2 linked regions of the Caenorhabditis elegans genome follow. The protein of the gene in region 1 interacts with the protein of each later gene in a pairwise test. Each region holds a gene or a part of one and is shown in the gene's direction. Other genes may lie near its edges.

Evidence for each region.
Region 2: the proteins of rsf-1 (region 1) and rab-39 interact in a two-hybrid assay, tested with the Caenorhabditis elegans proteins (one study listed by BioGRID).

Annotation. Positions count from the first base shown.
Region 1 is NC_003280.10:11,303,507-11,313,392, forward strand, and holds rsf-1 (Ras association domain-containing protein 1 homolog), read left to right. Parts: upstream 1-2,892; 5' UTR 2,893-2,911; coding exon 2,912-2,951; intron 2,952-3,933; coding exon 3,934-4,021; intron 4,022-4,836; exon of another isoform or gene 4,837-4,986; intron 4,987-5,461; coding exon 5,462-5,555; intron 5,556-5,634; coding exon 5,635-5,769; intron 5,770-6,064; coding exon 6,065-6,296; intron 6,297-6,553; coding exon 6,554-7,348; intron 7,349-7,634; coding exon 7,635-7,750; intron 7,751-7,792; coding exon 7,793-7,896; intron 7,897-7,976; coding exon 7,977-8,073; intron 8,074-8,152; coding exon 8,153-8,299; 3' UTR 8,300-8,434; downstream 8,435-9,886. Other genes in the region: samp-1 (Transmembrane protein 201 homolog), read left to right, coding at 1-321, 368-446, 496-623, 676-1,239, 1,703-1,865; T24F1.7 (Small integral membrane protein 36), read left to right, coding at 9,061-9,207, 9,676-9,765. UniProt on the Caenorhabditis elegans protein: Involved in embryonic morphogenesis. Plays a role in the organization of apical filamentous actin in epithelial cells of the developing embryo. May play a role in let-60-mediated vulval development. May induce nuclear condensation.
Region 2 is NC_003280.10:9,321,065-9,325,500, reverse strand, and holds rab-39 (Ras-related protein rab-39), read left to right. Parts: upstream 1-2,580; 5' UTR 2,581-2,591; coding exon 2,592-2,833; intron 2,834-2,886; coding exon 2,887-3,076; intron 3,077-3,126; coding exon 3,127-3,240; intron 3,241-3,289; coding exon 3,290-3,433; 3' UTR 3,434-3,643; downstream 3,644-4,436. Other genes in the region: eat-3 (Dynamin-like GTPase OPA1, mitochondrial), read right to left, coding at 453-613; egli-1 (Transmembrane protein 41 homolog), read right to left, coding at 801-1,541; wdfy-2 (WD repeat and FYVE domain-containing protein 2), read right to left, coding at 3,913-4,069, 4,116-4,436. UniProt on the Caenorhabditis elegans protein: Small GTPases Rab involved in autophagy. The small GTPases Rab are key regulators of intracellular membrane trafficking, from the formation of transport vesicles to their fusion with membranes.

The DNA of each region.
Region 1 (9,886 bases):
ATACTCATATCTTCTGAAAGTGAAATATAAGCTGAAACATGCAATTGGATCTACTCTACGAGAAGTGATGAACAATCAGAAACGATCGCGGAGATTCTTCTTCGCCGGTGGAAGTACATGTGAAGCTCTTCATTTTGGATGCCTCATCTCTTCAATTATTCTCTTTTTGGCGAATATCGACTTCTTACAGCAAGATGCAGGAGCATCGCTGATCAATTTGCCAAAGGCTCTTCAAGATATTCTGCCAGAAGTTTATAAATATTCCTTCGTCATCAATTTTCTGATCTTCACTACACATTTGATTGCTGCATTTAATAATAAGTAAGTTTCATTCTACAATACAAAAAAACTGTAATTTTAATTTCAGATGCCGAGTTACTCTTCCCGACCTGCTGCTGCCCATCCTTCTGATCCTCGCAATGCTAACAGTTTTGACTTCAAGTGATGTGAGTTTCAAAATATACCCTTTGCAAGTTTTACACCTCTTTTTTTCAGAATTTATCACAAGATGTCGCTCTTGTCAGAGGTGCATGTGCTTCGTTTTCAACGATCCTTTCAATGGCAGTGACACTTCTTCCAAGGAAAAAGCTGCATAAGAAACGACCGAATAAGATTGTTTCAAGGTTAAATAAATATTTTATTTTTAAAAATTCCTTCAACTTTTTCAATTTTCAGTGCCTTCTCTGTTGCGTCAACTCCGATCTCTCAATGCTCTTCACAAAACAGTCGAAACGCTTCACTTCTCGATCATGACCACACGATTCTTCGAAGATCTCCACATACGCCATCAGCAAGCCCTCCAGCAATGAATTCCTCTCCACCATTGCTCCGTGAAATAACAAATGGTCCAGTGTGGTCTGCAATGAGAAGTCGGGAGAACAAGGAAAATATGCAAAGTTATCAGACTAAACCTAACAATCACGTGGAATCAATGGATTGGGATGATAGTGAATCGATGGCGGCTCAATCGGTTGCTCAATCAACTCGTTCCAGTCATTTCAAGCCAGGACTTTTATCCAGAAATATCAATGAAAGAATGACTGCTCAACAGCTTACACCCTCCGTGGCAAATTTGAATCTTGATACGAGATCTGTCGATTCTCCAAGTATATTCTCAAGACAACACCGGCAAATGGCTCAGCAACAGAATCACACACCGACTAGATCATTGTTCGGGCCACCACGATCTATGGTAGCTTCACAATACGACAGGAGCCACTACATGGCACCGGAAGCACAGTAAGATTTGTTGAAACTGAAATATTTATTAAAACTTAACCCTTTAATCTTGAACAATCAGTTATTTTTTGTTTAGAATGATAATTAGAGAAGCAATAGTGTGATAGCATTTGTGCAGGATAATTGTATATTAGACTTTTAAAAACTTAGAACTGATTGGACGTTGGACTTTGATAAATAATATGTGGAATTTTGGTTAGACCTTTCAAGTCACAGGTCACGTAAGCTCAGATGAAAACTAAAATTAATTTAAAAAGAATTGAAAATTCCGTTATTATTCAATTTAGATTTAAAATTTGAAGATTAGATTTTCGTTTCGAGACCGTGGTTACGGTATTTTGGAGCCAATAATATTTTGCAAGAACCAGCATTTATTGAAAAGATTGACTAAATTCTGTTTGGTTTTTCTACGTTTTTCCTTCTATTAACCTTCAAGATTCCCATCAATTTTATTTATTTACAGCACTCGACCCGGTTCAGTGTTCACATCGGTCTCGCAACAAGACGGACACTCAACGGTCAGCGGCGCGTGGCAGTGTCGCGTCATCGGCATCCTCTTCGCGCTGGTTTTTATCGTACTCATCATGCAGATCGGACTGTTCTACGTTCTTTTCACCCGCAATTGATTCGACCTTATTATATATGTTGTTTTCTATGTTTCATCTCTCTCCTCATCATGCCCTATTCACATTTTTGTTGTTTGATCCTGTGTGATATTAGTTTCAAGTTATTTGGGTTCCCAGTGCTCTTTTACTATTTGATGTGTGTCTAGCTCGTTTTGTTGAATTTATTCTTTCAAATATGCCCCTTTTCACCCTCTCTGATGATCTCACTTCGTTGTTAAATACCTTACTACTTCAATTTCTACTACATGAAACCCATCTACATATACATCTCTCTCCAGTACAAGTCTATTGACAAAATGAATAATTCCCGAGAAAAAAGAACGCGCAAAAGATGAGAAATGGATTGCAACAACATCAACAAACAAGGCAGCTTCCCCATCCCGCCTGCTGCGCACCACACAATTGCTCCACTCCTGCGCTTCTCCCGGATTGCACACTGTCTGGGAGTGGTCGAATCTCTGCGTCTCGCCAATTCACACACTCTTCGTGTCCTCTGTTTGTCCGCCTGACCTCACTTTAGTAGATGTCTCTTTTGAATACCAGTTTTCTATGCCCAAAATTGGGAAAACTTTGAAATTGGCAAATTGTAAGGTTTTTCACAAAACTTAAAAAACACTTCTATATTTACTGCTAATCAAATAAAAAAATCTTAAAAACCACCGGTGGCGTAGTGGTTAATTATTTTGCTGCCGCTCAGACGACGCCAGTTCGACTTTTACCATCTTCTGCCACAATTACGGTTACTCGTATTCATCTTCTCACAATTATCCACACCGTCATTTGTTCCTTTTCTCTTCCGTATCTCATATTTTCCTCCCTTTTCTTCTCATATTTCATTCACTTGTGATCCTCCCTTCCTCTTTTCAATGGACGAGTCTTGCAGCAAAAACCAAAACTCTTATGAATTTTTCATGCCATATCCCTTTTAAATAGCTCAATTCTCGGAAGAAACCGTGTGTATGTACTTATGCTGCTGACTTTGACTTTAAATTTGTACTTTTGAATATGGAATGTATGATGATTTCAGATCAAAACTGTATGTGCACATGCTTCGGTCCGTTGTAAATAATAATGATAAAGCTAAAGGTGAGTTTTCAAATTTTTAATTTTTGTTTTTATTAAACAACAGGAAAAATTTTAAAGGTTGTGTCAAAACTGTCAGGCATTTTGACTTTTCTAGGCCACTGACCATATTAAATGGTTGAGAAAACATATATATATAAAAGTTAGATTGAAAAAGAAAGTTTTAGTGAGTTGCCTAATTTTCCAAAACGTTTTTGTAAATTGCCAAATTTTTGCCGATATTTTGGCAAATTGCCAATATTTCTAGCAGGGATTTGGTAAACTGCCAATTTTCCAAAACAAATTGGCAAATATTTTAAAAGTGAGGACTATTTGGGTAATGTCGAGAATGTCTGCAAATTTGAACCCATTAGAATGATTATATGATAACAATTTATACATGGTAAAATACAAAACTCGTAGAAAAAAAGAAATTTTTTGTTCAACTTCCAAAATTATGATCATTTTTTGACTGTAAATAACAATATTTGAAAAATTTGTTGAAAAGTTTTGCTAAATTATTTTGGGCATCTTAGACGTCTGTCGACACCATGACTATAACTACAACTACTACAACTACAACTATAACTACAACTATAACTATAACTATAACTACTATAACTTACTTATGTTAGACACTATGGACACTATAACCGGTTTTAACAATTTTTCGACTTACGATACTCCTTCCAATTCTCAACTGCGGTCCTGACATTATCTGTTCAAAAAACGAATCATAAACTGGAACTCCACCAATTTCCAACTTTAAAGTTTATCAACAAAAAAACAGTAGCTCAGATCTATATCAAAAATTGCACGCGATGAGTTTCTGCACAACGAGCACGTTTCGTTTACAACATTTCACTCTCCTCATTTTTTATTGACAATCAGTTGAAAGTGAAGTGACAAGAGAGAAAAGAGAACACTCTTTCTGTGTGGGGCAAAAGATAGCAAAAAGCCTATAGATATCAGTGAAAGCAAAGAAAAAAGAAGAAGAAGTTTTCAGAGAGTGAACAAAGTGTCCGTGTGGCGACTGACGACCCAACCTACCAATCATACGCCTTCCAACCGTCGACATCTTCATCTAACATTAGGTATGTGAAATCTGATTGAATTTCTAATGTCTTATAATGTCTGCGTATCCCCCGCGTCCCATCCAACTTATCGATCCTCGGTTCTACTCGATCATAAGGTCGTTTCTTTCGTTTTCACTTTTTTCCAACTGGACTTCAGGTGCTCAATGGATCTCGTTTGTCATGTTTTAATGGGTACACAACTTAGTCTATTTAGATTTATTCCCATAGTTAGGCCGAACTGAAGTAGATGCTAACGATGCGTCGATGCACCATGTGTTACTCCCAACTTTGACAGCTCATACCTCCACTATCTTTGGTTTTATCAAAAAACTGTCAACTAACAAAATACTTATTGGTTGTTTCTCTATAACTTTGTAGTTTTAATTTTTTTAATATCTTTAAATTGAATTGAGATATAAGTCACCAAAGTACAGTGGCCTAGCCACAAATTTTATATTTTCTGGGAGTTTATATAATATCCAAAAAGATTTGCATCTGAGCTGATAATCTTCGGCTATATTGACGTATATGCAGTGCCAAGCACACTTTTTTTCTGGATTCAAATCTCTCTTGCAAGACGTTTGCGGAAATTGATGAAAATGAGAAAACATATGTTTTGATAAAACGGAAACATTCAATTATCTCTCTCTGCTTGACTGCCTTTTCAATTTTCCTATCTTTTCATGATGAAATCTTCATTTTCACGAAAAACCTACTAAATGTTTATCAATTTGATATATGTTTATTGATTTGGAATTTTCGCAATATATTATACAGCGGATAAACTTTCACATTTTTAATGTTGCACTTCATAATTAATGTTCTAGAGTATTATTCAGCGTTTGTCAATACTATACGCTAAAATTAAGGCAAATGGAAGGGACACCTTTAGGCGTTCGTGCCTACCTACCTACTTGGGTGCCAGGCGCATGCCAAGAGCTGCGTGATAGGATTAGCTAAGTACGACGTTCCGCGAAAATCACCATGGAATGTAGACGCAACTCTATACCTACCTACCTACTTACCTACCTACTTACTATCTAGGTACTTTGACCTCAGTTTTTGGCTTGTTTTTTACAGTAATACACTTCTGAATTAAATAATGTGTTTGACATTTCATATATTGTGCAGTAGGAAAGCATGTATACACTTAGTAGGGGTAGGTAACTTTGAAGGCAGGCAAACTTTTTTGTTCCTTCTGGTTATTTAATTTAAGAGTTTTATAGAACCCAATTATTACCCAATTCATCCTTTATAAACCACCGATAATTTCCTCATAAAACCGTTCACTAGCTCTTCACCATTTGCATCCTCGACCCTTGACATTCTGCGCCACCCAAACGACCATCTGCTCTTTTCAATTTCTTTCTCTACCCACACTCCACCACTTCTCGCACTATTTCCTGTCACCAAAGAGCATCATCCACACTTTCACAACCAAATTTTTTTTCTTTCCAGCTGGTTCGGAGGTCTTCGAACAAAACTCTCACAATTGAGTCTGTTTCCCGATTGGATGTCACAGTTGGGAATAAAATCGGACGACGAGAAAATGGTGGGTATTTTACCTATTTTTTAGTCTATGTGTGACAGGATCCAGTGGGAAAAGGTGATGAGATGATTGAGTGTTGCAGGAGACATCATCGACAAGTAGCCCACAAAGTGAGCAATCAATTGGCGAGTACGATGAGAGTACACTCGTCTTTAGGCCAGTACAGCTTGATCATTTTGGTGGAGCAGGGCAGGAGGATGATGGAGAGCAGGTTGATGTACGTTTTTTAAAGCGCAGTTCAGAGTTCAAATTCAAATATTTGAAAATAAAAGAAGACTGTTATAATTGTCTGAAAAAGTGTCAGAGAATGTACATAGATTAGTCAATTAAGGCAAGCCTTTAAAATTAGGCCCTCATAATTGATAATGCAAATATTGAAACTTGAACTTTTGTAGAAGTTGAACTGATGAAAATTGCTTGAAAAATACTAAAACAGACTAGCAGAATGTGTTGACATTTTACACATATTTGAAGTCGACCGTCTATTGTATATTTTTTCCTTTTTTTTCCAGATCTGGGATTTCGGCGCCACATTTCTCGCCGATTTGGATTCGAACCACGTTTGGAATGATACAATAGAACGGCAACACTTTGGCCCTCTGAAAGACCTGATAACAACTGGAGGAGGAGCAAATAAGATAAATAATCACAGTTTCAAAACACATTCCCTACTACATCCAACATGGTGCGACAAGTGCGGAGATTTCATTTGGGGTATTCTGAAGGAAGCGCTCAAGTGTGAACGTAAGGGTTTTTCTATACATAGTTGGGATTGGGGAAAATAAGGAACATTTTTGGAAATATTCGCTCAAATTGAAAATTTCCCTAATTTTTATTTGGAAAATTTTGGTACACAAAAGTAAAAAAAAAAAACTCACATTTTGACGGCAGCGACTAAGTTGGTAATACTGATTTTTTGGTAAGTTTTGAAATAATAGATAATATTCAAAGTCTTGGTTTATTCCCGAATGCAGCCCCACCTGTAAATTAAACATTTTCAGATTGTAACTACACCTGCCATGCAAGATGTCGTGACTTAGTGACCCTTGACTGTAGATCTCCTGGAAGCTCTCTCGCTTCTTCAACTGAATTTGACTCAATTTATCCACAACTTGACGGTACTCTCGGAACCATTCCAAAAGGTCTTATTCTTCCACCAGCAATGAGCTCTAGCACTGGATCTGATAAGGAAAACGGCAATGGAAATTCAGCAGGGATTTCAGCAGAGAATCCAATTTTTTCCGTGAAAAATTCCTTTACATTACCCAAATCCTTTTCACCAGTTGATAGTCTCAGGACGAAAGAACCAAGTGCTCCACCAGAGTCCAGATATGCCACGTTAAGAGTTGTGGAAAGATATGTAAAGGAAGATACACCATTTGAGTGGACTGATGAGTACAAGGAAATGGATCTCGAACGGAAAATCCATTCCTATAACTCTTTGGCAAAGGGAATGGAAATCACATTACATGAGGACGGTGTCAACTTTGGAGGTCACATTCATGTCAATATGAATTTGAGCCGACCGATTAGTGTTGTTCAAGGAGTCATTCCACCAACTGTTTATGATGTTGTGAATACTGCAAAGTCGACGGCAAAAACCACATCTTTAAGAACAATTACTTCATTTTTCTTACCGAGAAACACTGCAAAAGTGATAAATATCGATAGCAAGACAACTGCGAGAAAAATGATTGTAACACTGCTGAAGAAGTTCCGAGTTGCCGATAACCCGAGGAAGTTTGCACTTTATGAGTGCGAACAGATTACTGATGAGGCTACATGTACATTGAACAGTAAGTAAAGGTTCTGGAAAGTGTCAGAATTGTAGGAGAAGTTTTTGAAAACACATTGAAAATTTGGCAAAATTTTGGTAAATTGCCAAATGTTCGGTAAATTTTTAAAAAATTGACAAAATTTGATTAATTTCCCAATTTACCAAAACTTAGGTAGTTTTCCAAATTAGACTTTTGGTTAATTGCCAAATGTTGAAAGAAAAATGTAATAAATTGTCAAACTTTTAAAAAGAAAATTTTCGTTCTAAAAACTGTGTATTCAGATTAACCCAATTGTTGTTTTCAGGAAAGCTAACGAGAATATCTGACGACGCGTGTCCTCTAAAAGTTGTGCTCAATTGGCAGAGCCCACATTGTGGCCGAGCTTTGGTGTTGCAGGAAAACGACACTGGTGACATTCTGGTATGCATCTTTTCTTTTCTTGATTGCAATTTCGTATTTTAGTGGGACGCTTTTGAAATTCCCGAATTGGAAAACTTCTTGCGAATTTTGGGAATGGAGGAGAAGCAGTACGTCTTCCAAACTCAACAGAAATATCAACAATACAGGTGAGAGGAAAAACGTCATGGGCAAAAGCTTTAGCAAATATTGACAAGTGCACTTAACCGTCAGGTGTTTTCATTTTCAGGTATCATCTTGATGCGGAACTCCGTCAACGAGGTCATTCGGTTCCCGATGCAGCCGCGCAGCCGATGGTTCAGACCAATCCATTTTTAGATGAAGAGGTAAGACGTAACAAGTGGCTGAACCTGTGTAATGTCAGCTGCTATACCTGTCTAACTCTACAAACACCATATTTTCCAGTTCCTTCGCAACCAGGATGAGTATGGAACATCAGACAGTATGCTCTTCTCGGGAACAATCAAGAACGCTATCATGGGAGAAGACCCGGACTATGTGAATCTCGAGTATCTCAAGAAACAAAATATGGACCAGTCAACGAATTTGTAAACATTTCATAACAATGTATTATTCCATTCTTTCCTCACTTTGTACGGATTTCCACAAACTCTACTACAGTTTCATTTTTGATGTCACTTTTCTCCCATCCAATTGGCTATAGAATAAAATACTTTGTAATTTAAATTGAACAGAATTTCAAAATATCAGAGACAAAAGATCAGAGAAAACGGTGATCCGCGCCAACTAGCCGTAGATCGGATCCAACGAGGTTCAAAAGCTCAATAGTGTAACCATGTCAAGTTTTGGACTGAACTTGAGAAAAAGTTGGCGCCAAATACCGTGATGAATTAAAAATTTTGATTCTTAGATGTCTGAAGTTTCCTTAATTCTAGTTCTAGATTCCAAAATTCTAAAAACTTCAAAATATTCGAGCTCCAATGTTACCAAATCATTTCAAAAGGCTTGAAAACATCCAAAATCAAGGTTCGAAAATTTCTTTACGTTTCGGATTTCAATTCTATTTATAAACGACTAAACACCTTTGCTTGATCCTCCACAATTTACGAAAAAAATCAGAATGCAAAAACAATGCAACGAGATCCGTAAATGGTGGCTCTCTCTGCCTCTCTCTCTGTCCGTTTTCGGATACAATAGACTGCAGGCTCACGATTTCGCACCGTCCGGACACTGTCTCTCTCTACCGCCTTTTATTTGCACTGGCTCTTGGAGCAACAACAACAACCAGAGCAGCCCCTTGCTCTTGCGAAGCTGCTGCTCTCCAGTTCAAGAAATATGCTCCTCTGAGAAAAATGACCAGCGAACCGATTATTGACGAATACGACGGTGGTCCGACGACATGGGAACAGCTAGTTCCGGTGTGCATTCTGACGGCTATTCTACTTATTTTACTTATTGCCTGCCTCAAAGAATGCCACTTCAAGTACAATAGACGCAAGGTGAGAGATTTTTGTTTTTTTTTGTTGTTGAATGGTGCCTCCGTTATTTTAGGTGTCCGGTTACTTTTTACTTTTTAGTTTTTTTGACAATTCTGTTTTCCATGGAGATCCACAAAAATGCTGCCTACTTCTCTGATATGTGGCGTAAAATCAAGAGCTTGGTATTTGTGCAATATACTAGATTAAGCTTACCTTCAGTGCTGTCAATTCAAGCAAATTCAAGCACCCGACATATTTCGGTTTAGCGACTGACTATCGAATTAGGCATTAGATAGACAGGTGCCTTCATAAAACCGCCACACTTCTGCATCTGACATCAACTTTTAAAGTTTGGATACTCGCTTAGTCTATGATTTAAATGTACATTGTAGTTATTTAATACCTAAAAGTTTTTTTGACACAAAATTTTTATTAAATTCTGGACTCATTTTTTTTGGAGTTTCACATTTTCTAATTCTCAATTTTCAGACTCCTGAACCTCCACGAGACCTTGGACCTCTTCCAAAAATCACGGTGACCAATGGTCGGACCGGCGAAGAGCGTGTCATCCAAGAATGAAGAAAAATCTACGCAGAAAAATAAAATCTAATTTATTGTTATTCCAAATCTCGACTAATGAAACGTTCATTTATTACATATTTTTAAACAATCAATTCAGTAGATTTTTATAAGAAAAATT
Region 2 (4,436 bases), 2.0 Mb from region 1:
TTCTGTTCCAGAGGTTCAAAGTTCGGAATTTTGTTTTCTTCTTCGGTTTTTTCCCGTCAAAAATGAAATTTGAACATCAACGAATAGAAATATTCTTGGAAGATCTTGGAAGATTATATAACCTCATCTTCAGGATAGGTAATATTTAGGAAACAATATTGCCAAAAATGTGAAATATCCGAAAATTTTTCGTTAAAAAATCTTAAACAATTTTTCAAAAGTTCAAAATGAGTGGTAAAAGACAAAATGTCGTTTTTTTGTTCGCTTCAAAATGTGGTGTTTTCATATTGATAAACGTCATCAACCAAAGATGCAAAAAAAAGAGAAGAGACAGCAGTATTACAAAACACATTCCCCCTTTGCGCTATCTTCGTGGTTTTTGGTGTCTTATTACTCATCAAAGAGCGGACAGAGAGAGAGAGAGGAATAGAGAGAAAAGGAGAGAGACTCACAATCCTCCTTTTTTGCTGAAAAGTGCATTTGTGCCGAATTGCCTGTTCTGATGTTGATTTCCATTTGAATATGCGGCTAAAGTTGCAGAAGTGGAGGCGGATATCCGGGAAAACTTGTGCAAATTGTTCGATATGAATCGGCGTCTTGTGGCGATCCGCATCATTGTTTCATCACCTAAAAATTGTTTATTAGTGAAGAAAATATGATTATTATGACAAAAAAGGAGGCGAAAAATAAATAAAAATAGTATAGAAATGAGTTATCGGCTATATTCTCTAAATATCACAAGTTTTGCACAGAAAGCAATGGAAAAAAAATGAGATCGAAAGAGGAAATAAGAGAGAAAATTAATCCGATTTGAGCTTCTTCTTGAGCAAAATAGGAGCCAGCGACAAAATCGCCGAACCCGTAAGTAAAACGATAGAACTCCAACTCCATGCTACACTGGTATGGCTCAATTGTTCCAGTGTTGAGCCAGCTTGAATATACAGGAAACTTGGTGGAGCAACGCCTAGAAATGTTCCCCAGAAGAATGGAGCCAGTGGAACATCTAGAACAGGACTGGCAATGTTGATTAGCCAATTTGGAACAATTGGAGTTACTCGAAGGAAAATCATATAGTTCAGAAAGTCATCACGATGCTTGCTCAGATCATCCTGCCATTTTGCGATTCTTTCGGGAAACTTTTGCAAAACAAATGATCGTCCAAAAAGTTTAGAAATGGTGTAGCAGATGGCGGCTCCAGTTGCAGAGCAGGAGCACACCAACACAATTGCCACATAGAATGGAAACAGGTATCCTGATAGAATTGTTAGAAAAATAGATCCAGGGATAGCGAAGGACTGTAGAAATACGTAGACGACAATTACACCGCACAGAACTACTGAATAGTTGTTCTCCTTGTACTTCGAGAGAACTCTGCCCAGCTGCTTAGCGTCTTCCAGATTCCTGGGATATTTCAAATGAACCTTCTCATCTGCCGAGACTTCAGGAAAATTGCTGTATACAGCAAAAATTGAGACCGCAAAAGTGGCGAAAATGAGTAGAACAAGCCACGGATGTGAAGTTTGGGATGATTTTGTTTCCATAATATCTGAATGTTAAATTCTTTTGTGCACGGACATTACGGGTGAATTAGTGTAAAGACAACATTAAAACATAGAGATGGGAAATAAAAAGATAACATGATTAAAAACTATTTACGAAATACATCAAAACTCGATTTATCCTGTAACATACGTAAGAAGTATGTCAAATTTTAAGAAGATAATCGTAGATTTAGGATTTTTACTACAACAAAGCCTCTTAACCGAAAATTGTTCACAAAGTGTGTTTAATAAAAATCAAACAAATAATTCGAGTTTTTCCTGGATTCAATAGCGTTAGTGCTTCACATTTAATTTAATCAAACAAACTTATGCAAAACTATTTCGCAATATTACTATTCAGATTTCTTTAACTGTGAGAGTTAATCTATATATATATATATATATATATATATATAATATGTTCTTATATATGTTAACTTTTCCGAAATTCTAATTGTGTAATTGAAAAGTTTTGGAAAACAGGTGTTTTCGAGAAATTTTGCAGAAAGAAATGTTGCATCTTTACTTGAACTAGATTTTCTACTCTATTCTTAATTTATTTATATCAGTATATGTTTAAAATAACGTCAAAAGCGGAAACATGAAACAAATTGATTCAAAAGAGCTCTATAATCTTGCGAAGACAGCGGAGGAGAGAAAACAGCGGTAGAGAAAGCAGAGAAAAACGAAAATCGATAATTTCGGATTCAAACTCGACGAGAATGCTTTAAAATTGAATTTATATAAAGAATACTCTCGAAAACCGTGAAAAAATTTAATAAAAATAATCATTAGTGTATATTATTTAGAAAACGGCTCTTCGGTGCGGGACCCGCCACCAAGAAAATTCTATGCGCCTTTAAAAAGTCAGCCGTTTTTATTTATTGATCATCTGATTTCTAAGATTTCTGCTGAAATTAAAAAGGTTTTCATTTAAAAAAGTAATATTTATTGATAATTGTTGCTCGGATAACTTTAAATTTATTTTCTTATAATAATTGCATCATTCTCTATTGGAAACGCTCAACAATATATCATTTTTTAGACAAAATGGAAACAAACTTCATTGGTGACGACTATGGACCGCTCTTTCACTACCAATATCGTCTTATCGTTATTGGGGATTCAACAGTTGGCAAATCTAGTCTTTTACGGTACTTCACAGAAGGAAAAATGGCCGAAATCAGCGACCCAACTGTCGGAGTAGACTTTTATGCAAGGATGATTGAGTTGAGGCCTGGATATCGTGTTAAATTGCAACTATGGGATACAGCAGGACAGGAAAAATTCAGGTATGTGGATTTTTTTAAAAAGAATATTAGCTGATTAAAAAAAATATTTTTAGATCAATTACAAAATCCTACTATCGGAATTCTGTTGGAGTCCTTGCAATCTACGACACAACGAATCGAGAAAGTTTTGAGCATGTTGAAAATTGGGTTAAAGAAGCAGCATTAAATTTGGGTGGTCCAAGCCCATCGAAGTGTGTCTTCCAATTAGTCGGAACAAAAAGTGATATGGATTCACAGCGACAGGTAATTTTTGAACAAAAGTTGTGTTTAAAAAATTGGTTAAAAGCTTTCAGGTAAACTATGAGGAAGGCGAGTACTTTGCCAAGTACCATAAAATGAAGTTTATCGAGACGTCGTCGAGAACAGGAGACAATGTTAATGAAGCTTTTCATATGATTGCACAAGAGGTTTTTTTGAAAATGTTTCAATTTTATGATGTAATTTTCAAATTTTTAGATTCAAAATCGAGTCGACGACGGAGAACTGCGGCCCGTGGATGGCTGGGAAGGCCTTAAAACTGGTATTATGAGGTCACAATCCGTGTGCCTATCCGAAAGAAGTTTCCCTCAAAACAGCAGCGCAGGAGCTTGCGGATGTTGATAATTTCTCCTCAATTTTTTAATTTTCCCCGTAGTCATAATTTCGCGTAGCGTTCTTATAAACATCAAAAACTCAGCTATTTTGTGTACTTCCTGTGAGCTTTCTCCTTCATCCAGTGTCACCAACCTCACCTACTCTCCCGGCATGCATTCTTTTGAAATAATTTCTAGTCGTTCTGTCCAAAAACTTCAAAAAAAAAGATTTTTTTTCAAACTTTGTTGTAAAAATACAATTTTACAGTCGAAAAACTAGGAAATTATCGGGATTAGAAGAAAAGTAAGAATCACAATCACTATTCAGGACAACCTGTCAGGGGTATCGGGAAATATTGGTAAGTTTTAGAAGGTCTTGATTTGACAACAATTGGTCTTGGGGAAGGATGGGCATTTTGAGAGTGAATATACAAAATAGAAAGGAGAGGAAATAAATTAGATGAAATACAAAGAATTATGAGAAATTCGAGAAGTAGAAGCAATTGTTTATTGTGATCCAGAAGGGGCAGAGCAAACACTTCGAACATCCCAAATCATAATCACACGATTCTGTCCACTGGTAACTAGAAGTCCGAGAGTTTCCTGGAGATGCATAGCAGTGATTCCAGTATGGATTTCATGTGGAATTGCAAGTGGAGTAAGGCTAAAATTGAAAATAAGTTTCATCAGTCATTTGCTTTACAACTTACTTGAAATTCTGTGGATTATCTTTCATTCGTGCATTGCAGTCATTACAAATGCGAATTTTCGTCTCATATCCCATTGGTGGATAGGTGGTCCAGTTGTCACAGCAAGATCCACAGACTGCTGATCCACAGGTTCTGCAGTGATGTTGTCTCAATCCGACCACTTTCCTCTGCCACATTGCTTGAAGATTCCAGAAGAACGGTTGATTGCATTTCTGACAGCAATCCGAAGTTTTCCATTCAGGAGTCTCAACTCTCTTGCAATTCATGTCCCAGCACATGAGCTTTCCGTGTTCGTCAGCCGAGAACAGACGTTTGGCTGCT